Linked DNA regions of Daphnia pulex. The protein of the gene in region 2 purifies or fractionates together with the protein of the main gene of each other region. This does not show direct contact. Links are inferred from orthologs where the notes say so. Each region holds a gene or a part of one and is shown on either strand. Other genes may lie near its edges. The genes, in order: E3 ubiquitin-protein ligase MYCBP2-like, F-box/WD repeat-containing protein 7-like, F-box/SPRY domain-containing protein 1-like, transcriptional coactivator YAP1-A-like, dolichol-phosphate mannosyltransferase subunit 1-like, nuclear factor NF-kappa-B p105 subunit-like and RNA-binding protein 28-like.

The links.
Region 1: the proteins of F-box/WD repeat-containing protein 7-like (region 2) and E3 ubiquitin-protein ligase MYCBP2-like purify together in Homo sapiens (affinity purification with mass spectrometry; 6 studies listed by BioGRID and IntAct, counting the BioPlex papers as one, with this or other methods). This does not show direct contact. The link is inferred for Daphnia pulex from reciprocal best matches to the Homo sapiens genes FBXW7 and MYCBP2.
Region 3: the proteins of F-box/WD repeat-containing protein 7-like (region 2) and F-box/SPRY domain-containing protein 1-like purify together in Homo sapiens (affinity purification with mass spectrometry; 4 studies listed by BioGRID and IntAct, counting the BioPlex papers as one, with this or other methods). This does not show direct contact. The link is inferred for Daphnia pulex from reciprocal best matches to the Homo sapiens genes FBXW7 and FBXO45.
Region 4: the proteins of F-box/WD repeat-containing protein 7-like (region 2) and transcriptional coactivator YAP1-A-like purify together in Homo sapiens (affinity purification with western blotting; 4 studies listed by BioGRID). This does not show direct contact. The link is inferred for Daphnia pulex from reciprocal best matches to the Homo sapiens genes FBXW7 and YAP1.
Region 5: the proteins of F-box/WD repeat-containing protein 7-like (region 2) and dolichol-phosphate mannosyltransferase subunit 1-like purify together in Homo sapiens (affinity purification with mass spectrometry, with the first as the bait; 3 studies listed by BioGRID). This does not show direct contact. The link is inferred for Daphnia pulex from reciprocal best matches to the Homo sapiens genes FBXW7 and DPM1.
Region 6: the proteins of F-box/WD repeat-containing protein 7-like (region 2) and nuclear factor NF-kappa-B p105 subunit-like purify together in Homo sapiens (affinity purification with mass spectrometry; 7 studies listed by BioGRID and IntAct, with this or other methods). This does not show direct contact. The link is inferred for Daphnia pulex from reciprocal best matches to the Homo sapiens genes FBXW7 and NFKB2.
Region 7: the proteins of F-box/WD repeat-containing protein 7-like (region 2) and RNA-binding protein 28-like purify together in Homo sapiens (affinity purification with mass spectrometry, with the first as the bait; 3 studies listed by BioGRID). This does not show direct contact. The link is inferred for Daphnia pulex from reciprocal best matches to the Homo sapiens genes FBXW7 and RBM28.

What each region holds. Positions count from the first base shown.
Region 1 is NC_060019.1:11,812,375-11,815,874, reverse strand, and holds part of E3 ubiquitin-protein ligase MYCBP2-like, read left to right. Parts: coding exon 1-12; intron 13-79; coding exon 80-265; intron 266-324; coding exon 325-711; intron 712-782; coding exon 783-988; intron 989-1,048; coding exon 1,049-1,202; intron 1,203-1,267; coding exon 1,268-1,412; intron 1,413-1,475; coding exon 1,476-1,738; intron 1,739-1,798; coding exon 1,799-1,959; intron 1,960-2,027; coding exon 2,028-2,248; intron 2,249-2,316; coding exon 2,317-2,399; intron 2,400-2,466; coding exon 2,467-3,450; intron 3,451-3,500. UniProt on the Homo sapiens protein: Atypical E3 ubiquitin-protein ligase which specifically mediates ubiquitination of threonine and serine residues on target proteins, instead of ubiquitinating lysine residues.
Region 2 is NC_060019.1:12,536,013-12,540,095, forward strand, and holds the start of F-box/WD repeat-containing protein 7-like, read left to right. Parts: upstream 1-1,283; 5' UTR 1,284-1,661; intron 1,662-1,746; 5' UTR 1,747-1,875; coding exon 1,876-2,043; intron 2,044-2,110; coding exon 2,111-2,259; intron 2,260-2,418; coding exon 2,419-2,776; intron 2,777-2,840; coding exon 2,841-3,026; intron 3,027-3,091; coding exon 3,092-3,490; intron 3,491-3,557; coding exon 3,558-3,737; intron 3,738-3,835; coding exon 3,836-4,017; intron 4,018-4,083. UniProt on the Homo sapiens protein: Substrate recognition component of a SCF (SKP1-CUL1-F-box protein) E3 ubiquitin-protein ligase complex which mediates the ubiquitination and subsequent proteasomal degradation of target proteins.
Region 3 is NC_060023.1:5,716,068-5,719,463, forward strand, and holds F-box/SPRY domain-containing protein 1-like, read right to left. Parts: upstream 2,165-3,396; 5' UTR 2,069-2,164; coding exon 1,965-2,068; intron 1,845-1,964; coding exon 1,606-1,844; intron 1,536-1,605; coding exon 1,438-1,535; intron 1,375-1,437; coding exon 1,243-1,374; intron 1,185-1,242; coding exon 999-1,184; 3' UTR 501-998; downstream 1-500. UniProt on the Homo sapiens protein: Component of E3 ubiquitin ligase complex consisting of FBXO45, MYCBP2 and SKP1. Functions in substrate recognition but also plays an important role in assembly of the complex.
Region 4 is NC_060025.1:6,891,490-6,895,075, forward strand, and holds the end of transcriptional coactivator YAP1-A-like, read right to left. Parts: intron 3,379-3,586; coding exon 3,242-3,378; intron 3,182-3,241; coding exon 2,828-3,181; intron 2,747-2,827; coding exon 2,631-2,746; intron 2,569-2,630; coding exon 2,169-2,568; intron 2,036-2,168; coding exon 1,917-2,035; intron 1,858-1,916; coding exon 1,774-1,857; 3' UTR 501-1,773; downstream 1-500. Other genes in the region: FUN14 domain-containing protein 1A-like, read left to right, coding at 281-463. UniProt on the Homo sapiens protein: Transcriptional regulator with dual roles as a coactivator and corepressor. Critical downstream regulatory target in the Hippo signaling pathway, crucial for organ size control and tumor suppression by restricting proliferation and promoting apoptosis.
Region 5 is NC_060020.1:7,388,067-7,390,840, forward strand, and holds dolichol-phosphate mannosyltransferase subunit 1-like, read left to right. Parts: upstream 1-1,175; 5' UTR 1,176-1,310; coding exon 1,311-1,411; intron 1,412-1,478; coding exon 1,479-1,578; intron 1,579-1,640; coding exon 1,641-1,751; intron 1,752-1,815; coding exon 1,816-2,226; 3' UTR 2,227-2,274; downstream 2,275-2,774. Other genes in the region: protein virilizer homolog, read right to left, coding at 1-490, 549-684, 749-861, 935-1,024. UniProt on the Homo sapiens protein: Transfers mannose from GDP-mannose to dolichol monophosphate to form dolichol phosphate mannose (Dol-P-Man) which is the mannosyl donor in pathways leading to N-glycosylation, glycosyl phosphatidylinositol membrane anchoring, and O-mannosylation of proteins; catalytic subunit of the dolichol-phosphate mannose (DPM) synthase complex.
Region 6 is NC_060019.1:4,989,240-4,991,580, forward strand, and holds the end of nuclear factor NF-kappa-B p105 subunit-like, read left to right. Parts: coding exon 1-71; intron 72-148; coding exon 149-174; intron 175-232; coding exon 233-567; intron 568-640; coding exon 641-810; intron 811-924; coding exon 925-1,176; intron 1,177-1,247; coding exon 1,248-1,422; intron 1,423-1,491; coding exon 1,492-1,649; intron 1,650-1,721; coding exon 1,722-1,817; 3' UTR 1,818-1,841; downstream 1,842-2,341. UniProt on the Homo sapiens protein: NF-kappa-B is a pleiotropic transcription factor present in almost all cell types and is the endpoint of a series of signal transduction events that are initiated by a vast array of stimuli related to many biological processes such as inflammation, immunity, differentiation, cell growth, tumorigenesis and apoptosis.
Region 7 is NC_060018.1:5,214,750-5,218,805, forward strand, and holds RNA-binding protein 28-like, read left to right. Parts: upstream 1-1,256; 5' UTR 1,257-1,334; coding exon 1,335-1,448; intron 1,449-1,522; coding exon 1,523-1,691; intron 1,692-1,751; coding exon 1,752-2,200; intron 2,201-2,262; coding exon 2,263-2,440; intron 2,441-2,503; coding exon 2,504-2,721; intron 2,722-2,779; coding exon 2,780-2,929; intron 2,930-2,996; coding exon 2,997-3,326; intron 3,327-3,383; coding exon 3,384-3,497; 3' UTR 3,498-3,650; downstream 3,651-4,056. Other genes in the region: splicing factor U2AF 50 kDa subunit-like, read right to left, coding at 1-235, 300-599, 888-915; casein kinase I-like, read right to left, coding at 3,891-4,056. UniProt on the Homo sapiens protein: Nucleolar component of the spliceosomal ribonucleoprotein complexes.

The DNA.
Region 1 (3,500 bases), about 720 kb from region 2:
CCCAATCTCAAGGTGTGATTTGCATATACTTATGCTGGGTTAGTAGTTTAACCTGTCTTTTATCTATATTCTGTTTCAGGTAAATATTCGAGCGGTTCCATGTGACCTTACGCAGACGACCAACGATGCTTTGTTATCACCAACCAAGCGGCTTTACTCGGGAGACGAGAAAAATTGCGATGAACATCTCGAACCAGTTCTTGATGTGCCATATGATGTTACCACGAAAGATAGAATGTGCCTTCACGCCATCACATTTCTTAAGGTTCGTAAAAATCAACTATTTAACTGATTGCACTGGTCTGAAACGAATTTGTAAATCAGGCCTATGAAAACTACTCGTTTGAGGAGCTCCGATTCGTGTCACCCATCAAGCGAAGAACTAGCGAAACAATGCTTGTTCGGCCCAACGCTGATGGCTCTTACAGTGCTAACTGGACACCAAGTGCTGCTGGACTTTATTCTATTCACGTAACCATCGACGGCTACCCGCTTGATGAAGTTTACAAAGTCGACGTGAAAGAGCCACCACAAGGAGTTTTACCTCCCTCCCACAACGTCACAGTAAGGAACAATTCGTCACCTTCTCATCGGCTACGTCAATTCCGAACTCGAGCAAGTGCTGGTTTGCGTGTGCGGGCTCAGCCTTCACTTCAAGGGGAACAAATAGGGATTGTAGCATGCGAAGGAACCATCTCATTCATTGAAGAGGTATTTGAAATCAAAATATTTTATATTGTAATGTTTGATGAATGTCAGCATTGCATTCTCTTTTTCTTTAGTTGTGTAATGACGACGGAACTTGGTTACGATTGAGCACGGAATCTATCAGGGAATGGTGTATTAATCCATATTCAGAAGCATGGTGCCTCCAATACAACCAGCACATCAGTAAGACGTTGCTCTTTCCCATCAGTACTACTCAGAATGAAGGAGACGAGATGGGTGACGACCCGCCCTCACACCATAAAAACAGTCAAGCGGATAGGTACTTTTGTGAGCAATTTAATTCGGAAAATGAAATTAACACTTTTGTTTATTATCACAGTGATAAGAAAGAAGAAAAAGTGTTCAGTTCGGCGCAGACGTTCTATGTGGTTGACTGTGGAGCTTCTGGACATAACATTCGAGCACTGCCCAGTTTGAAAGCTTTGCCGGTCGGAAAATTAAAACTTGGCAGCTCATTTTTAGTAACTGAGCAGGTATTCAGTATGATTCCATTACTTTAATAAGCTTTTAAATTTTCATCTTGAAATTATTTAAACAGCGACAAACTTCGGAGGGAGCATGGGTAAAGCTTTTACCCTCTTCCGCTCGTCAGTTCTGTTCAAATAACGAACTGGAGGCTTGGTCACTTGCTGTTGATCGTCATCAAATGGTTTACCTCCGCCACGAAGATGAGGTTCTATCTGGTAATTTATTGAAACATGGACAGGAAGGTTCAATCAGTGTTATTCATTACTGTTGTTTTCTAGTTTCAGCAGGTTCAGATAAATCTAGTCCGGCACAATTACTCAAGCCGGCTTACGATTTTAGCGAGAGTGCTGAGCGACAGGCTAATCTGTCGGCCTTCTCGTCTCCAGAGCCCGTAAGCACTTTCATTTTTGGCATAGACAAAGACTCCGAATTTCCTCGACCGACCTCCTCACAGAAATCGCCTCCGAAAGGCGAGATCGACCAGTCTCCAAAATCAAATGTCCAAAGTACATCTGAATCAACGGCGTCACTTCATGTGCAGGTAAATGAAAACTAGTTATTTTTAGTTGCTGGAATAATTGAACAACGTTTAATTAAACAGGAAGCATCATTGGAATCAAGCGTAGAAGATGCCGGAGCTTTGGTTGGATCTTGTGGCCCGTTTGCTGCAGTTGCTGTAGGGCGACTCTCAGCATTTCAAAATTGGCTGAGACGTGACGGATCATTAGTTAAAGAGGCGCCTAGTCCACCACCTCGTTCAAGGTTCGCATCGTTAATCATTGATTTGTTACATTTTTGTTGAAATTTGTCAATATATTTGGTTTTCCCAGGAATTTTCCACCTGAATTGCAAGGAGTATCGGTTAAGGATATGGTTCGAGTAATGGGCGAGAGCCGAGCTAACGGTAACGCTTCACCTTCCTCCAGCCCCATTCCTAGTCGGAAGACCGGAGCTATCGCGGTGGTGAATCGTTCGCTATCGGCTCATTCGTCACCAGGAGGCTGCTCAAAACCTTCCGGTTCGCTTCCCTCTTCTGGTACAGTAAAATTAGGTTAGTTACCGTAACCTAGAAGCATTACAGATAATTTTGACTTTTTACTCCCTGCCCCTTATTTTAAGTAGAAAATACTCAACGTAGCCGAAGTTTGAGTCCAGCAACGCAAATGTCGCAGAGTGTGGATCAATCAGTCATCACAGTTATGGTATTTTAAGAAAATGTTAACACTTTCATGTGAAGTCATTTTTTCTTTATTATTTTTTTAATCCCAGGCTAAAAACGTTACACAAATGGGAACTCAGACGAGTCCGGAAGCCAACAAAACCAATCAGTTTAATCTTGGTGCTGAGTTGATATCTGACTTGACCCGCTCACCTCAGCGGTTGTCCCCAAAAGCATCTCGTACCAAAGAGCGAGCGTCGCGTGGTGGAACAAGAAGCCGAAAATCGCGATCACCAACCGCTGGCCAGCACATTGGTGGGCGCTCTCTGATGCTGGAACAAGAGATAGCTCGCGTTGGCATGAGTCCCTCTACGGCCGAATGTCTGCGCGCTGTCTTCGCCGCCAACCTTTGGCATCAAGGATTGGTTCACGACGCTATGGCTTGCGCTTCCTTCTTGAAGTTTCATCCCAATTTACCCAAGCAAGTGGACCCGATTGTACCACTGCGCGGAGATCCTCGACATCGCAAGACACGAGAGGAGAAAGCGCGCCAACGGCACTCGGTCGAAATCTTTTCTACTAATATGCTATCAGGGCCGTTTGCATCTCCACTGCCGGTAGCGTTAGAAGAGAGTTGGAACACGGAACGAGGGGAATCGGCAAGCAATCATCAGATACAACCGGATGTTCCTGACAACAAAGTGGCATCGTCTTTAACTCCAACACTTAGCCTCCTGGTCGAACTTTGGGAAAAGATGAGCGGGCGTTGTGTTGAGTTGATACAGTCTGAGCCGACGGCTTCATCCTCGACGCTCAGTGTCGCCCAGTTCCAGAATGAGAGCGTGTCCAAGGCTAAACCGAAAACTGAAAACAGAGATGCACGCGATAAAGAGCGAAAACGCAAGTCCCGTAGAGAGAGCATCCGACCGGAATCTAACTGTGAACTATGCGGCGGATTGTTTGCCGTGCCTGTAACCGCTCACATGAGACAAGCTCATCCAGGCTGTCAGAAGCCAGCCCTTGGATTGGGTTACAACCCCGACGGACAGTACTGCGGGGGCTGGGTAGGAAATTGTGGCGAAGGAGGCATTCAGGTTAGATCCAAATTGGATTCCTCAGTTGATATGGAAATTAATTCTAGCTT
Region 2 (4,083 bases):
ACCGTAGCGCATGTTGGTCTCGTTCGTCATTCACAATCGAACACTATCAAATGACGCAACGTATGTTCGTTAGCTGCAACGACGACTCCATTGTTTAAATAGGCGCGCCTAACCTCACACCTCTTCAATCCGGTGCTTCTGCACTTAAATGAACCGGTCAAAGACCAATTGCTGGTTTATTAAAAAATATATAGATTTCTCAATGCCCACACAAAATGTGCATCAAAGTTTCTTGGCAATTCAATGAGCGACCTATTTTCATGACTGGGGAAGCGACGATAATGCCCGATGAAAGAGCGAATTCAACATTCAACACAAGATCACCGAATGTTTTGTGCTGCGCTTACTAATGATCTTTTTGAAAAGTTAATGCTAATACGGTAGCAGCTATCACTCCGAATCCGAGAAATTTTGAATGTCATGGGGCAATAAACGGAATTGAATATTGTAACAATCAGAGAAAAACGAAAATTTGTTACAATTATATTATTAATGAGGACGAACCTTCAACTTTTAAAAAACCTGCGAGATATCGCGTAAGTAGCAGTTTGAATTTCTTATATCGAACGTTTATAATTCATCGCGAGTCATCTAGCGATAGCTAGAAAAAGCAAGATTCGGGCGCCCTTTAACACTGCGTAGCTGCTATAATGTGTACAAAAATATAGATACACAATTTAGTTGGATGAATACTTAACTGGCTATTGGTTGAATCGGGTTCAACTTTCGTCCAACCGTATGAGAGAACTAGAACTCAACATTACGCAGTAACGTTTTCAACAGAGTTGAAATGCTTGAGAAACAATTTGCACCAAAACTTCCATTGTTATTGAAATTGTGGCTTTAATTCAGTTGGATCTGTAAAGGGCTGATGGTATGAAGAGATTCAAGGGGGACATTTCAGGAGGGGGAACGATGAATAGCGATGATGATCCGTTGAAGTTTCAAGAACTGAACAGTTAGAAACTTAAAAAAAAATATGATATAATACTCTTTGATAGTAATGCAATACAAAAATATTATTAAGGGTGGGGGATGTATGTACAAAGAAAGGCGGGAAAGATGAAATGAGGTAGGCCCACGTATTGGCCTTTAAAAAACCGCCTAGCTTTGTTGTTTAAAAAAGGATAATAATTACCACTATAAATTCGATAGTAACACTGTAAACGTGTCAAGTGGGTTTTGCTACGAGATTCTAAGCGAAATAAAGAAAAAAGCGCATGTGATGACGACCACAGGGCGCGTCCAGCAACTGGGAAATGTTAACAAGCAATTTGGCAACGCTTTTTAGTCCAGCATATATCGTTGTCTGTCTCGGCTTCACCATTCGTGTGAAACAAAATTCTCTTTGATGCTGATCCTCGTGTACAAATTTTTTTCTATATTTACGCTCTTTGTGAAATCGAAATGCCCGAATCATTTTAGTGCTAGATTTTTTCTATTTTAAATCCTTTATTTGATTAAGTTGTTTTTGCCCACCCGTGCTTGCGGAATATTTTCAAAATCGCATTTTAAAGGTCTGCCCTTGTTCCCAAAACACTACACACTATCAAGCCCTCGCCCATATCATTAAAAAGATTCTACTTTTATTTTGATTGCACTTTTTGACTCGTAACGCCATTATAATTTTCGCTGCACTTTTCACTGGATTTTTATCGACGGTAAGTGTGAATCATTCTTGCTTTGTTTCATTATTGTTATAAAAAGAAACCTTTATTAACAACATTGAATCTTCTTTCTTGGCAGATGAGATGACTAGTGTTTAATTGAGGATATGAGTTGTTGTCTAGGCAGCTGTGTTTTGGTTTCCTAGTAATAGCTCAGCTTCTCAATCTCTAGCTTACGTAGCAGTCAGAAACCCAGCAGAAATAATTTATGCCAGCGTCCAGAGGACGGAGTAGTGGGAGGGGCATGGGCGACACTGCTAATGAAAGTCTAGCTCAGAGAAACCTGGTAGACATCAATGTGGCTACTGTTGAAGAGCTTTCCACCTTGGTTGGAGTTGGACGCAGCAGAGCTGAAGCCATTGTGGAAACCAGAAATGTAAGTTTAGGATTAACCCAACACCAGTGTGTTTTATATGGTTTTGACATGTGTTTTTCCTTTGTAGTCCCTTGGAGGATTTACATCCATCGAAGATCTAAGTCTGGCTCCAGGTGTGGGGACAAATTTGATTGAAGCCAATCGTCAGATACTAACAATATCAGTACCAGCTCAGTCGTCTCAGGTGAATGCAAGAAAAGCCAACACTCGGAGCAGGTAAATAGTGTTATACAATACTAAATTTATACCCCCTTCTCATGGTTTTGCTATTAGTGTAGGTATATTTCTTTATTGTTACTCTTATCTAAGCCTTTGTTCTTTGGATTAGGCAAAAATGCGTCATTTGATTCTAAACATGTTTTGTTGTTGCCCTAGAAGCAGTGATAATACAAGCGCTCAACCGACTCCGAGCACCACACCAGTGATATCTAGTTCAAGTGATAACGCGACAGAAGACCAGCAAAACGACAGTGGAAGTAGCAGCAGCAACGAATGGGGTGCTTGCCGTTTGAGGCAGCGCCGGTCAACAAGCAGAATAAATCCACTGCCCGTTGGCAAATCGCCTTCGCTTCGACAGACTCGGAGCAACGATAGCATCATTCAATCGCCTCCTCCTCTCCCCACAACACCTACATCATCGACACCTACTGCTCCTGCCAACGACGCCAGCAATGTATCCGTTAAAGAGGAATCACCCACCTCGGAGAATGATGACGTCGCCAGACCAGGAGCTGTAAGTTTATCCAACACTTATTTGTTATTAAGAACATGAATTTAATTAAGGTGGTGTGTTGTAGACCAAGCGCAAGTCGGAGTCGACAGCTGAGATGGCAGCTGAAGTAGCCACGGAGAAAAAAACATGTCGAAGGGGTGAAGGTGTTGATTCATCTTCCTCGTCAATCTACTGCCATGTTCACCGTAATCCGATTCCCTCGAAAGACAATCCTCCGCCAGGATTTTGCCAGTGGCTTCACACGTTCCAAGTATTTTTCGTCATTCTCTCAACCACTAACTCATTGCTAAGAAAAACCATTTGTTATCATTGCAGTACTGGTCGAACGCTGAGCGTTTATGTGCCATTGACCAACTGATAGAGCTGTGTGAACCCACTCAGGTCCGTCACATGATGGCTGTTATTGAACCACAGTTCCAACGCGATTTCATATCGCTGCTGCCCAAAGAACTGGCTCTGTATGTTCTCAGTTTCCTCACGCCTCGCGACTTGACTCGCGCCGCACAAACCTGCCGTTGTTGGAGAGTCTTGGCTGAAGATAATCTCCTCTGGCGAGAAAAATGTCGTGAAGCGGGTATCGATGACGTTCGTGATACTCTAAATAAGCGACGTCTTCGCGGATCTTCCCACCACTCATCTCTCAGTTGTGGTCTTTCTTCCCCCACCGGATCTAGCCAAAACAATGCACCAATTATTACTCCGTCACCCTGGAAGGTGAATAGATCAATCTGGCTTAAACGTTAATAGGTTGCAAGATAATATTGATTCGTTGCATTTTCAGGCGACTTATATGCGTCACCGAAATATTGAGTTGAATTGGCGAGTGAGGCCGATCCCACAGCCAAGGGTATTGAAAGGTCATGACGATCACGTCATCACCTGCTTACAGTTTTGCGGAAACCGCATCGTTTCGGGATCGGATGACAACACGCTCAAAGTCTGGTCGGCTACTACGGGAAAGGTAATTCATTGGGCTTTCTGCCTAGACAGGACAAAGACTTTAAAAACGCGAAATGTCTTAAGAACAGACAACCATTTAATTGTCATTTCACTCAACAGTGCATGAGGACTCTGCAGGGACATACGGGAGGCGTTTGGTCCTCTCAAATGCAGGGAAATATTATAGTCAGCGGGAGTACAGACAGAACCTTAAAAGTCTGGAACGCTGAGTCTGGACAGTGTTTGCACACATTATACGGCCACACCTCCACTGTCCGTTGCATGCATTTACACGGAAATAAGTCAGTCTTTTTATCAGATATTTGTAGCAAGCACTCTTACTAATTCAACTGTTTTCCTTGATCAAA
Region 3 (3,396 bases), on a different chromosome or scaffold from region 2:
GAAAATTCCGGTGGTACATGACACTTACACTTCGCTTTATGAGGTTGATGAAGGTCAACGTACACAATAAACCATAAAAGAGGGGACGAAACTTTCTTTGATTTTGACCTATTTTTGGAATGATATTGCTTTTGCGCTTTGATTAATTCAACATGCGAAAAACCATTAAAGCCTTTACTCGATCGTCGTTCGATTTGATGAGCGTAATGGAAATACAGTTAAACAAACTTTTTTGTTTGACCTTCAAGACAGTTTTTGACCAATATGTTGCTAGAAATCTAGGATCCAAGTGCCCATCAGTACATTTCTCAGTTAGAAGCGTTAGAAGAGAAAAAATCACACATGAAGTAGTAATGAGGCTAGAAAAAACCTAAACGATCGAATCCATTCGTATACGATGGTAAATGTAGGAGTACTTAGAAAACCTGATTCCTTACTCATTGGTTAACACCTTTAAGTGTTTGAATAATGCTTATTTATAAAATTAAATAAAGGCAGTGTAGACAAGTCATTTTTCATTTATTCGAGTAATTAAACACGAATTAGATTTTTTTATTCAAAACGCCAAACTTTGGGCAGTAAGAGGTTCAGTTATTCTTTAGCATCATCACCAGTCCCAAGTCATACAAACATACACAGGGAAATTTTAAGTTATACAAATCTATTTCGCAAGTAGCAGTCAGACCGGACGATTAACCATTTGTTGGTTTTCGGTTGAACGTGAAAACACAACCACACGAAATTTGAATTGTAACACACTACAATAATCTGACACACACCAGGGAAATCATGAAAAAAAAAAAAATAATAAATAAATGAAGAATGGGAAAATACGGGAATGTTTTAAGTCAGAGCGGTATTCCCAACGCAACCTTTGTACACTGAATTTTGGGATTCTTTTACAACAACATCCTTTCTTGGTTGGCAAAACGCATTTGCCTGTAGAAATTGATTCACACAAAGAAATTTTCTGTTTAGGAGAGGGGGACAGGCGACAGTTAGCCATCCAAGGGAGGACCCAGGTAGACCATTGAGACTTCTGTGTGCCCATAGACTGCCGACACCGAAGGGTATAAGAGCTTCTCTGGTAAGCCCCTAAACGCCACTCCGAGGAATTCATAGTTTCTTTCGAAAGCTAATGTATTGTCATCACAGTCAAGAATGACTCGTATCCGCTCCCCAACCTGCAACAAAACTTTAGGTTAGGTTGATTCAACTCATTCATTGGTTAGACTCAATCACTTGGTATTTAGGTGCATTGTTCAGCATTGGGTAATTGCCTTGGGAATCTCCATTATGAAGTAAATGATTATCAACCAAATTCCAACCCCAACTTTGGTCATCTGATCCTAGTAAAGCTATGTATCCATGTGTCTGTGAACATGGATTTTGACAATTATTTTTAGATAAAATATTCAAATTTTAACACAATTATACCTGGAGAGTTGCTTCTTTAGTTGCAATTCCAACAACTGCAACTGTTCCAAGAGGACCTTCCCACATCACTTCCCAGGCATGCCTACCTTGACTGAATCCTGCACAAACATTAGTTGAATGGATTAATATGTACACTTGCAACAGGCATCTACAATATTTAGTACTCACCAATTTTACCTCTCACAGCATCTGTACTCTGTGCAACAGGGTTTCTGTGTATGGTAAAACCATTGGGTTTGATATAAATGTTTCTAGAGCAGTCTTCTGGGTTCCAAGCATGGTGAAATGCTTTTAATTTTGTTTTGTAGGTAGGAGCGGAAGATAGGAGGTCTGAGCTCAGGACTTCTTCTGCCAGTTTTCGTATGCAGTGCAGTCTCCAGACATCATTGTCCTCATCATTCAGTATACTGATTCAAATAATAATGTGCAAGGAGAACATAAGTTTCAAACAATCGCTGGTTTTGTTAGCAACGGTAGATCACTAGCGAATAGTCACAAACTGGTGTTGATTTCAAGAAAACTTGTACCTGTACCACCGTTTGCACACCAACGAACTGCTTCTTAAATCCTGCAGCGGCAAATATGAGAAAATATTTCCTAGTATAATATCTGGTAGTATATCCACGTGCATTCTAAACGCCGGCTCGCAAACACTTCAACATTCATTTAGGAAATTTCTTTCGATTTTTTCTGCAATTGACAATACTTCTATGGCAGAACCGGTGTTGCCACATTGCCATAGCAATTGATCTGAAATAAGAAAACCGAACAAAAATTATGAGAATCTAAACAACTTGATAAAACACTGAATTACACCTGTGAAAAAACGATATATTAATATCAAACTACTTTTTTACTAGTTTTTAAGATAAAATAATATTTTAGTTTATGTTTGAAATGGTTCCCGCGTATCCGGAAAAGCAGACGACGTTTGATTTTACTTAGCCTTCTGATTTATGATTTCATTCATATTCATGCTCGATTTCAATAAAAATTTAACGCTTTTCCCATGAAATTAATCAAATTAGCACTTAGTTATTACGATACATTTATTACGATAACTGTATTAACAGCCAAATTAAAAAAATAGACCAATTTAAAAGAGCGAAATAAAAAAAATATATTTCAGAAATTAATAAAATAAAATAACGAAATCGCTGAACACTTGCCTGCGCTTAATTAATTTCCTCTTTCTCCTTCATGTTTTAGCGCTACTTAGTATTTTACATGAATATTTGAAAAAGAGAAAAGGAGAAATTAAACGAGCAAGGAAAATCGAAAATCATTTGTTCATATTTTTGTTCTCACCCAACGACCCAAGGTCACGAGTTTGTTTGAATTTCGAATTTCTGCCCGTTGAAAGTATCGATTTTTTTTTCATTGCAAATTGCGATAGATAGAAAGCGAACTCATGGAGAAGTTAGAATTGAATTGAATCCCAGTCTCATATGACGTACATATAAGACGCTCACTCAGTAAACCCCCCGGACGAAAAAATAAAGAAAAAAAAAATATAATAAAAACTAAGCCGTTGGCCTGCTGTGCCATCATCACCCCCTCGTGCATTTTTGCCTAGCTGCCTGCTGATGCTACAGCAGTGTGTGTCTAGTGACGATCGTATAAAGTTGGCCCAGAACCTTAGGTAAACCCTATTGTCTCTTTTGTTTTGGATTGAGGGGATTTTTATTTTTTATTCATAAAGTGAATTAGATAATAAAGGAGGATACTATTTGTCATTGAGCTTGGAAAGTTTAAGTGAAGATGTCTGCAAAAATCTTAAAATAAGGGGGAAAACTTACCGGTGTGGGGTATCGACTGGTGATGGCGTTTTGGGCGCCATTTCGCTCATCGTGTTCTGAAATCATTTGGAGGAATAAATACGGGGAATTTCCATTTTAGTCTATTTAGATTCTATCATAGTTCTATATGAAATTTGATGATATCTGTAATTTGACAGGA
Region 4 (3,586 bases), on a different chromosome or scaffold from region 2:
TTTAATCACCCATTCAATTTAGTTAAGATATTTCATTGTGGTAAGCTAAGCTGTATGAAGAATGGAGGAATGTAAATATGAAGTAACAACTGAAGAATTTTTTTTTTTCATTTACTGGGTTGAGACCATGTACATAGCTATTTTCTGCTTGCTTTTATCATCACACTCGAAGACAAAACATTTTTTTAAAGAATAAATCCTCAGTGGAGAATTTTTTTTTGTTTATTCTTTTCATATTTCACATAAGTTGATAGGCTGTGTCGTATTCATGATTTCATAGGCTGCCGACTATTTGGACGAACAAGCAGAAAAAGCTGGCCGAGTTCTCCGAAAGAGAACTGCAGGAACGCGCAGCTGGTACCATAAACTCATCGGCAAGAAAACATCGGATGGTTCCGAGGCCTTTTATATTGGTTTCATCGGAGGTTCTCTGGCTGGATTATTTATTGGAGTAATTTTTTAAGCGTTAATGATTGATGCATAGACCTTAAAGACTCCAGCACTTGTAGAAAGATGTATTCATGGACAAAAGTCAACAGACAAGAGAGAAATAAATCGCATAAGGCCATTCGGAGCAACATTTTAACAGTTTCTAATTGTAATAATTCTAGTACGACACTATTCTAATTGACACTTAAAAGGCCTTGGGGAAACTAGCATGTATCAAATAAATCGAAAAGTTCGCCCGTCACCAATACAATGAAGTTATACATAGTTAATAACGTTTCCTGTAACCCCCTCAACTTCACCTTGTTAAAACAAAACGATAAATCCGAGCTACCAGATAACGTCAAATCATAAATGAAGGCACTGAAATTTAAGACATTTCTTCAAGGCATGTGTTACACACAATTTGGACCGTTTAAATTACTCGAGGTCCGTGAAAGCCAAGAGTGGTGGTGCAAAGTTAACTGTCTGCATCAGAAAAAAAAATTTAATAATAATGGAGAACGAGCGAGAAGCGCAAGAAAAATCCAGTTTTAAGGCTAGTAATCATGGCCATACAGGGGGACGGGTCACCAAGACATTTTCAAATGATATATCTCCTGCTTCGTATTCGGTTTGCGAGTGGCTTGTCAAAAACATTTGGACAGGGTATGCAGAAAGAATCATTTGACGAGCACATTTACAGGTAATTCAAAGGCATTGAAAAGGAACACACAATTTTGACCGACACACGAGGGAATTCCCAGGCATCTTATTGCTTCACACGTTTTATAGGCACGTCAGTTTCTCTCAAGACGACGATACTGGAACGGGCGCGCGACCGGACCGGGATCTCATCTTTTTTTTTTTACACCTAGAACCATCTTCCCTAGAACAAGAACCTACAGTCATAGTTGCATATATGTTTTAAAAAGTGATGGTTTCGGAATCAAACGAAACAAATATCGAAAATCTTGTTAGCTCCTCCTTCCGTTTCCCAACAATAACTCTTAATACGTAAATGATAAGCTAGTACGACAATGCATAATACGCATTGTGAGCTAATCTTCCTCTAAAACGTTTGCACTTTCAGAACCGAATTGTTTTTGATTAACTCTACCGCTAGTCGTTAGCTCTACATATTCAAAATAATTGCCAATTTCTGAATATTCGTTAAGATGAATCCCATACTAAAGGTTAAGGCCAAAATGTAAAAGTTAGTTGATCACGCCCAATGCCAAACCAATAGATGCGTAAACTTCAAGACGTGTTGAAGAAAACCATCGACGATATTGGCATTCCATAGAAGATATTTATAAATTTGGGATTCAACCAAGACGAGCTGTTTCAGAGCCAAGTAAGGACGTTGTCGACTTTGTTTGAATTCAAAAGAACGTCATTCAGGATGTCCGTCGATAACTCTTCTCCCAACTGTTCAAAAATAATTGTTGTTTTAAATCGAAATGACATTGTGAAATGTATGTTCTTACATCCAAAGTAGGTACGAGATCGTCAGTAGTGTCCATATGAGCAGGTAGATCGCCAGCCTCTAATCCTCCATTCATGTCGTTCATGTCGTTCATATCGACAGTGCCAACAGAAGCAGGACCTAAACAACGTAAACAATCCGTTACTAAAAATGTGAACTCAACGATGTGAAACAATGAATAATATAGGAAAAATTAAACTAAAATAAAAATTTAAAAATTTAAATTAAGACTAATTTTAAAAATCAAAATTACAATCAAGCGTAGTGTCCATTGTGTCATCCATAGAGGCGAGGAAATCCTCGGGTGTGTGAGGTAAGCTATAACTGCCACCCATACCCAAACCAGAGTCGGCCGACTCTTGACGAGCATGAAAGTCGGTAGCCAATGACGAAGGTGGAGCTGTCGAAGACTGAGGGATATTTGTGGCCGCTCCGTTTCCTGTTCCATTGACGCAAGTATGGGGAACGGCGGCGGTAGCAGCAGCCGACGCTGCACTAAGAAAAGGATCCACCGTGTTGGAGCTAAGCTCGTTGGCCGCTGCACTGTTGCTACTCGATTGCGTATGAAGAGGATTCCGTCTCATGGCGAACTCCGGTTGCTGTTGGGAACCGGTGCTGTTTTCTTGCTGACGGACGCGAGTTTCTCGTTCCATCTGCAATGAATTCATCAATGGAAAACAAAGATCACACAACACCTTCACATGAACTAAAATACCATGGCTATAATTTCCTGTTGTCTCTGTCTTAAACGATCCTGCTCCTGCTGAAGTCTTTGCAATCGCAATTGTTGCTGGGCAGCCTGGGCAGGCGTCAAAGTTTGCTGTGAAGTTCCTATTAAATAAAAATAAAAACATCAAATTGAATGTTTACCGTCAGCACTTCTGAGATTTGTTTTCATAAAATAAGCCTCACCTGAAGCAGCTGGCTGCTGAGTAATCTGTTGTTGTTGCTGTAAGGCGGCAGCGCTCTGTGTTCCAGCGGCGTGTACCATGGGTGGCTTCTGCATGTGAATAGCTGATGATGGAACAAACAGAAACGAGACATTAGCGTGGCGAGCAAGTGGGGAAAAACAAATAAATACAAAATAATAAAAGAAGTTGCTATTACGAAGGCGAGGATCAAACCACGAAGTCTTTCTCGTGTGATGATCAATGAAATAGAGTTCTCCTTCCGGAGTAACTGCTTGTTCCCATCCATCCGGTAGAGGACCCAAAGCTTGGGTTAAAGCTTGCTGAGATGCCGCCAAGACAGCCGCTGCATTACTTCCTGTTAATTGAATGAAAGTTACATAACCGGAAAGCCAGGAATTTGTATTGTTTCACTTACCGGCAACTGGCGCCGTAACGGCACTGAGTAAAGGTGGAGCTACCATGTTTGGTGGAGGAGCCGGTGACAACGGCTGAATCTGTTGCTGCAGTAATTTTTTCCGTGGATCCTCCCATGTTGTTGTTTGAGTCAGGTGACTGTAAAGAAGAAAAAGAAAAAACACATCAGCAAGATGAAAATCGGTAGAATGTCTGACACGTAAATAACAAATTATTTGACAATGATAAACGGCAACGCTAAACACACGCGACTAGACACAATAGTCTAGGACAAACCTGACTGAAATTGTTCGGTACCATGTTGGAAAGACCTTGGATTTGTTTCACGCTAATAGAATCAGATAAA
Region 5 (2,774 bases), on a different chromosome or scaffold from region 2:
CACTTCGATTGATACGTTCGGAATCTGCTTTGCTGGTTCGATCGGATTCCCATTCTCTTTCACGGAAGTCACTTGTGTCTCGCGTCCGTGTGAACTCATCACTGCGTCTGCTTTTCTCTCGCACCTTCTCGACTACTTTTTCTTCGACCTTCACTTTGGTTTCTTTTTCTGGTTCATCCTCGCGTTTTACTTCAGATTCAACCACTGTTGATGTCACAAAAGCATTTTCACACTTTATTAGTTCTGCTTTTTCTTCGAACGGAGGGGTGGAAGTCCGTAACTTTTCGTCTATAATTTGATTTGTAAACACTGGCGCTAATTCTGGAACCGGTGGCTGGGCTGGTTCAACTGGAACTGGGCTAGCAGGTTTGATAGGGGCTGCTGGGGGTGGTGGAGGTATACTGATTATTGGGGCTCGTGTAATAACCCCATAAACAGCTAGGGTTACAGTGGTATACCAGCCTCTCAAAACTAAGCCATCTGTTGGTACCTGTAAAATATACTTGGGGTTAAAATGGTTTGTTAATTATGCATAGTAGTCAATTTACTTTTTTATCAGAATCGTAATGAATGTTAGAATTCTGATTGTAATCTAGAACACCAAGTGTCTCAAAAGCAGATGCTCCAGGTTTGCTCAAATCATTCACAAATAGTTCAAGCTTAAACTGGGATGGATTCGTTGCTCTGAAAATACATGTTAATATGTAAACATTATCCTTATAATTTATTTTGTTCTGTCGTAACCTACCCTAAACGCACTCCTCCGGGGAAATCAGCTTGCACTTTGGCGCCTAAAGGTATGACTCGCACTTGATTTATGTACACGGGCTTGGGAAACTGTACCAAATCCAAATTCAATTCCTGCAAAATGTCGCCAAGTTTGAGTTGTAGCCAAATTGATTTATGAATAAACATTTTCTGAATTGATTCAAACCTCTGTGGGACCATGTGCGAACGTATCGAAGAAGAGCAATTCCTCATTATCAATTTTTTTATCAATTATCAATTGTTCTAACACAGACATTTTATACTAGCCGAAAAACTTTCATGAGTAAAATTTTTGAGGGATAGAAAAAAGTTTGAGGGTTCGTAAAAGGTTAATAAACAGCAACTGTCATGGTTTTCTGAAAATATAAATACGACTGCCACTAGAGGGATCCCCAACTCAGTAATCCGCTAGATGGGTCTGGGAGAAACAACCTTTAATTTATAACATTCCTTGCTTCTTGCTTACGTCAACAAGTTTGAATCACACAATTACTTCAAGGCGTCCCGTCAATTTCCAAAACAAATTCAGAAGTGTCGATAAAATGGGAGCTGATGACAAATATAGTGTCCTGCTTCCGACTTACAATGAAAAAGACAATCTACCAATTATTGTCTGGCTCTTAGTCAAAGCCTTTACTGACAGGTAAGGTTGACACTTGCTTGCAGTCATAATAAGATTACAGGTCATAACAATGCATTTTATTTGTTAGTGGATACGATTTCGAAATTATTGTAATTGATGATGGAAGTCCTGATGGGACCCTAGATGTAGCAAAGCAGCTTCAAACCATTTATGGAGATAAAAAAATTGTATGGTAGTGTTAGGCTAAGTATTTTTTTTTCTAATTAGCTATAATATTGTCATATCACAGGTCTTGAGGCCACGAGAAAAGAAACTTGGACTTGGAACTGCTTATATTCATGGAATCAAACATGCTACTGGCAATTATGTTGTGATCATGGATGCTGATCTATCTCACCATGTAATCATCTTTATAAACTTAACCTTAGGGGACATTAATTTTAAAACATTTATTTTCTTGGCAGCCTAAATTTATTCACCAATTTATTGAAAAACAAAAAGAAAAGGACTATGACTTGGTTTCTGGAACTCGTTACAGTGGAAATGGTGGAGTTTATGGATGGGACCTGAAAAGGAAAGTGATTAGCAGAGGTGCAAACTATGTTACTCAAGTGCTGTTGAGACCTGGTGCTTCTGACCTCACTGGTAGCTTCCGCTTGTACAAGAAAAAAGTATTAGAAAAACTGGTGCAATCTTGTAAATCAAAGGGGTATGTTTTTCAAATGGAAATGGTTATAAGGGCTAGACAATTGGGATTTACAATTGGTGAAGTACCAATTTCATTTGTTGATCGGGTTTACGGTGAATCAAAATTAGGTGGGAATGAAATTTACCAATTTGCCAAAGGACTTTTGTATTTGTTTGCCACTACTTAACAAAATTCTTCAAACAATAACTTAAAATACACCTTCTAAAAATTGTTATTGAAATATTTTTGTTGTTTCTTGAATGAGCCATGATATCCATGAGATAACACACAGACCATGGTTAACAAATATAACTAATTCATTAGATTCCCTCATTTATAGAAATAACTAATTATTGAAATACATTTGTAAAATTGAGAACTATCATAATTCTAAAACTACTTGAATAGTTTCAAAATATATAAACTGCTATGGTGGTTATTTCACCCAATAAGCTGATTGCAAGTTCGTTTCCTAGCGTGTCTCCTATAAATAAAAGACGCTGTCGCGTCTTATTGTAAGCGCTCCACAACAAGTTAGTGCATTTGGATCTTCAACAATTCAAAAAATGGAAGGAACGAAATATTTCGCTAAAAACGCTATGCCGCTTTTCTCCCCATTCTTCGTGGTAATGACCATTTACCTAATCTCTTCAATCCAGGCTGTTGAAAACGATACAGGAGGCGATTTTGAGGATGTATTAAGAGAAAATTACAGGGGACCCGTTGCCTTTTTCA
Region 6 (2,341 bases), about 7.5 Mb from region 2:
CCCGGGCGATTCGCTGGTACGCCACGACGGGTGATTTGAGTCATATTTTGACTCGTATGCGACATCTTATGGTATGCCCATTAGAATTCCTTTTTAAAATCAACTTTGTATTTATTTGTATTGTTTCTTTTTTTTTCTTCTTCTTCAGGCAATGCAAAGTGAAGATGGAGACAAGTAAGCCAATTTTCGCTAAAATTACTTATAAGTGAGTTTAACTGGACAATTTTTGTAGTGCACTCCACGACGCTCTTATTCACAATCAAACCGATGTTGTGCGCGCTATACTGCATGCGGCTTCCTTTCATAACACAGAACTGAATTTCATCAACGCTCAAAATAATGCAAATCTGACACCATTACACATTTCTGTTCTTAAAAACCAAACCGAGGCTACAGCTTTGCTTTTGCAAAGCGGAGCAAACCCTGGATTGGTGGATGCTAACGGAAATACCCCAATTCATCTTGCTGCAATGGACAAACATCTCATTGACTGTCTTCAACTACTTTTAAATACTTCCAATTGGAAGCCAGCCCATGCTCTGAAGTTGAATACGATAAATTACGCTGGTAAGCATAAATTAAAAATAATTGATTGCGGCTTTGGTGAAGTAGGCTACCAAATTATCGTTGAATTATTTAGGTCTTACTCCTTTACACATTGCGGTTAACGCAATGAACGTGAAAAGCGTAGAATTGCTACTTGCCAAAGGAGCTGATGTCAACTGTCATGAAACAAAGCGCGGGAGATCAGTTTTACACATTGCCGTTAAAAAGCAATCGGAAGAGATGGTGGCGTTATTGCTGAGCTGTGTATGTATTACCGTACTCTGCCATGTACTTAAATTACATGGCTTATTGTTTTATACCTTAATTAGTTTATATTCAAGCAATAATTTTATGGCCTTGTTTTTTATTTAAATTTAGACATCTTTGAATGTGAATATGCAAAGCTATGATGGAATGACTGCTTTACATCTGGCTGTGTTGGACGAACTTGATCAAATCTGTAGTTTATTAATAAAGAGCGGGGCGGATCCCTCAATTCTTAACTACGTGAATTCTTCCGCATCGTCGGAAAATGAAGAATGTGACGAAAATGACCCCGAACACTTGTTGGGAGATGGTAGTGTTGAAAAAGGACAAAGTTCCTTAGATTTGGCACAGTGCAATTTAACGGTATAACAATCAATGAGGAAAAAATATCAAGATTAATTTATTGACTTTAAACTTAATAACTTGATTTTTAGATAGCTAAAGTGTTACGTGATGGTACGCACTCGTCAACGAGCTTGGCTCCCTGCGAAACTAATTTTTTGGTGATGGATGAAGATGAGCGGAAAAGTACCGCATCAGACGCTACTTCAAATAGTAGAGTTTTGGACTCGGGCATCGATTTGATGACTAGCAAAGAGTTGCCGAAAGGTAATTTACCAATTCACTACAATATATACACATCATCATTTTATAATATGAATAACACACATTTTTCAGAGCTGGACAAACGTATCATCAGTGACTTGGCTAACATATTAGATTCTCCCAACAAAGAATGGGAACAGTTGGCCGATAGTCTGGATCTCTTATTGAGCATGCGAACCGTTTTGGACAAGCAGCAAAGTCCAACCACGTATTTGCTATCAAATATGGATGTAAATGATAGAGCTTAAAATTCCTAGTTATCTATTTGTAACTCATATGATTTTTCTTTCTTGAATTTATAGCTTTGGGAAGTGTCGACTCAGGTCGTATTGGAAAAACTGCATTTCCTCAAATTCACAGATGCTGCGACGCTGCTTGAAAATTATTTGGCAACTTAAAAACCAATTAAGTATTGGCTAGTTTAAAAAAATGGACTAAATTGTTCACTTCTTTGAAACAGCGCTGTAGCTGTATTTCTTATATCCATCGGGTAACAATTAAGATTATATAATATGCGTTTAATCTGTTATTGTTTTGGGAAACTGCGTAATTTGTTTGTTTTGTTTTGAGATGATATATAACATGAAATATCGTCGGTGAGACCAAATTAGTTAAATTTTTCAAATATTTTATAGATAAGGTGTTGGAAAATAAATCGTAAATAAATAACTTGTCGACTGTGTATTGTTGGCTTCTTCATGATTATATTAAATTGTGGTAAACTGGTAATCGTTATTTTAATCGTGTTGTAGTTTTCAAAATGAAGATAATAACGAGTATGTTACACATTTCGATGAATAGAATTACAAAATTTTTAAGGCACGGAAAGTACTTAAATATTTTGTTATTAAAATATGAAAATGGGCAAGATCAGGAGTTCATGTAATACACTGGAAAGCTTACATTTGCGCAATTTCAAGAA
Region 7 (4,056 bases), on a different chromosome or scaffold from region 2:
TTAATTTGACAAGCTAAAATGGGATGACCTGGAGCTTGAGACAGACCAGACAAATGCATCTGTTGATTGAAGAAATCCATCATTTCCTCCTCCGCTGCGCGTACATCAGAAACTCCAAAAGGAATATTCCCAACATAGAGTCTCCTGGCTTGACGAGTGATTGTGTTACCCACTACTGGTACTTGGACTTGTGGGGCTACTTCCGTCATTATGTTAGCTGGAATTTGTCCGGCAGCTACGTAGATTCAAGAAAATAATAATTAGCACATTAAAATTGAAACTTGAATAAGGATTTATACCTTGCATTGCTTTGTATTGCATGGGTGTGATGTGTTCGAAACCAATAGGAGGAATATCCCAGTAAATAGACGGCTTTCTTCGGCGTTGCTTTTTAACAGGAGAACGACTCCTTTTGCGTTCACGTTCACGGGACTTGCTACGCTTCTTCTCCTTCTCCTTTTCCTTAGATTTAGACCTTCTCTTTCTGTCACGAGACCTGGACCGTCTACGATCCCTGTCTCTATCTCTTTCCCTATCCTTGTCTCTTTCCTTGTCCTTTTCCTTATCTCTGGAACGGTCACGATCTCTCTCCCTGTCAACTAAAGTATTTCAAATGTTAATAAATCAAACAAGTAAGTTTACTTGCTTGACTACCTTCTAACTACTATGACTAATATTTCCATACAAAAGCAAAACCACGAGCCAACATTATAAACCATTAAAAGTTATGAAATTATGTGTAAAATACAACCAGATCATTAAACACCCATTACTTGTAAGTAATGTGTGTTAAACATTTCTTTCTTAAGCATCACAGACTCTTAAGAACATTACAAAAGCATTATAGTTGATATTGACAGAAGTAGTTTAGAGAAGTTAAAACATACCTTTACGATCATCTTTATCTTCTCCCATGATTAACGTGTGATTGTTAGCTTTTGTACGACAATAAGAAGAAACACAGCAGAGGAAAACAGTTAATTATTGTCCAAATTTTCACTAAGACTGTAAGCCGGTTTGATTAAAGGCTGGGAATGGGCGAATGGCGTCGGAGACGAGGTTCGATTGACTCCTTGTACCGGCAACGTCGATTTAATGTTTACAATTTCAAACTTGGTTTTGATTAATATACTGAAAGGTAAGATTAAATATTTCATAAAATAATAGCCACATAAAATTTATTTTCTGAGTAATTGTTGTATTCATGTTAATCCTCATTAGTTGTCATTTTGCCAATTGACAACAGTCTATGCTACATTTTGACACATATAATCGTCTGCTTGACTAGCTACATCAGTTATACAGACAAGCACGTGTTTGGATAGATTTAAAAGATGAATCACTCTTCAGTTAAAAAAGAAGCTTCTATTGTTACTAAAGCAAACACATCAAAGAAGAGACCACCCAATAAAAGAGGAAGAATAATTATTCGCAATTTATCTTTCAAAGTAAGCCAAGAAACTTTAATTTATGCTACTTTTAGTATGTTAGTAAGTTAGTACTTGATTTAATTTATTAACAGGCAACAGAAGAAGCTGTTAAAAACTGGTTTGAGAAATATGGAGAAATTGAGGATGTGAAATTATTAAAGAAACCTGGTGGCACTTTAGTTGGCTGTGGTTTTGTTCAATTTAAAACAGTTCCATGTGCGGCTACAGCAATCAAAGAATGCAATGCAAAACCATTTCTTGGTAAGAAAATTTTAACATTTTAAATTTGATAATAGCTTATCAATTGTTTTTTTTTTGTAGGAAGGCAAATAGCTATTGATTGGGCCATACCAAAACAACAGTATGCCACTTTAAATAATAAAACTGACGAAGTTCCAAACATTGAGCCGCCAGAGAAGAAAAATGACAGAAAAGATGAAGAATCTGATGATGAAGAAAGTAATGATGAAGAAGAAGATAATGATGAAGAAGAACAAGATGGAGAAGCTTCTGATTCTGAAGTTGAGAATGGTTCCGGTGAAGAAGAAAGTCCAAAAAAAGAAGAAGCTTGGAAGGGTGATAATTCTGAAATAGAAAAGAAGAGTGATGTAGCAGAAGGAAAGACTCTTTTTATCAGAAATTTGGACTTTTCAACCACAAAAGACTCGTTGAAAAATTTCATGGAAAAATTTGGCAGTGTTCACTATGCATTGTTGTGTATGGATAAAATTATGGAGAGACCCAAGGGCACTGGATTCGTAAAATTTAGAGTAAGTTGCATTATTGCAAAAATAAATACATACTAATAACTTTTCATATTAACCATTTTTAGGATTCGGAATCGGCTCAAAAGTGTTTAGAAGAGTCTCGAAATCCATATTTACAGTTAGATGGACGCATTTTAGACGTGGCTCTTGCAGTTACTCGGGAAGACCTCGATCACAAAAAGCAAGAAGCTGAAAAAAAGGAACATAAGGATAAGAGAAATCTATTTCTTGCTCGCGAAGGATGTAAGATTCTGAATGTAGATATTAAAGATTGTTTTTTCTTGCTTATCTTACAATTTTCTTTAGTTATTAGACCTGGTACCTTAGCCGCTCAAGGAGTTTCTCCAACTGACATGGCGAAAAGGCAACAAAACGAACTATGGAAAAAGCAAATGCTTCGAAATCTCCACATGTTTATTTCACGGGAACGATTGGTTGTCCATAATCTTCCACCCTCACTTACGGATCAAAAGTTGTCTAAGCTTTTCAAGAATCATTCATCCCCAGATGCCAAAATCGTAGAGGTGCAGTAAATTTTTGGTTTTGTATAACAAGAATCTTATTAACTTCAGATTATTTTAGGCTAAAATTATGCGCGACTTAAAAGCTGTTGGTGAAGGAAACGTACATCCATCCAAAGGGCATGGATTTGTAAAGTTTACCAAACACGAAGACGCATTACTGGCATTGCGTAATATCAACAACAATCCCACTTTGTTTTCAAAAGATAGGGTAAACATAATTTACTTGAGACTCCTCTTTTCTGTGTTTATTTTTATTTTATTTTTTTGTTTTTTAGCGACCTATCGTGGAATTCAGTGTGGAGAATCGTGCTGCCGTAAAAGCCAAACTGAACCGTGTTCAGAAAAGTCTTGAAAATGTAAAAAAAGGGAAAGATGAAAAAATCGCATCTACCAATGCGACTGCTGAACTACCCGTTCAAGAATTCAGTGGAGCAAAAGCTGACCCTAAAATTAAAGGACTACCATCGCATAGAGGACCGAAAATTCGACATCGTAAACGACCTAGTCCCCCCGATGCTGAAGTTGTTCCATCAAAGAAACCGAAAATTCGAAGAAAAATGTTTAAAAATCCCGAGAATCGCAAAGCGTCCGCTAAGAAGAAAGAGGTAAATTTAGGGAATACAGTCATAAATAAAAAATTAACTTTGCATTGTTCTTGCCAGGGAGTTGCCAAGACAAAATCGACAAAAAAGAAAGTTGCTGGTAGTGTAACAACTGGGGCTCCTAAAATGGCTAAAGCTACATCTGGGAAGAAAGGGAAGTGGTTTGATTCGTAAGTTTTATGTTGAATAAATTGATGACTTGAAAATTTCGTCTTTTCTCCTTGTGGGTTATTATTAAGTGTAGACTGGTGTTGAGAAACCATTTGTATTCCGATAAGCTTGTCGCGTAATTTACAAGTGTGACAACATACAAGTAATTTTTTTTTTTTCATTTCATCACTTTACTTCAAAAAACGATTTCCAAGGCTGCGACACGTTACGAAGAGCAAATCGAGAACTGAGGAGAACGGGAAGGGATGCAAAAGAGTGGCAAGATCAGAGGAAGAAAATGGATGATAAACATTTACAACAAGGGTTGGTCGTACATATCGGTAACAATATCCATATATTCATGACTTAATTGTTACCATCAAATCTTAAAAGCCTTCAAATGATACTTTCATTATTTCACTGTTGGGTACGAGCTGCACGGGAACGTGCAGCCCACGAAGCGGACGTTGCAGGCAGGGGGTTAGTAGGATGCGAGAACGAGGGCCGTGTGGGGGCTGGGGGATTGGTCGCTGGCTGTACAGGTCTCTCAGGTGGGAGAGTTGCTGTCTGGCCCACCCACTGA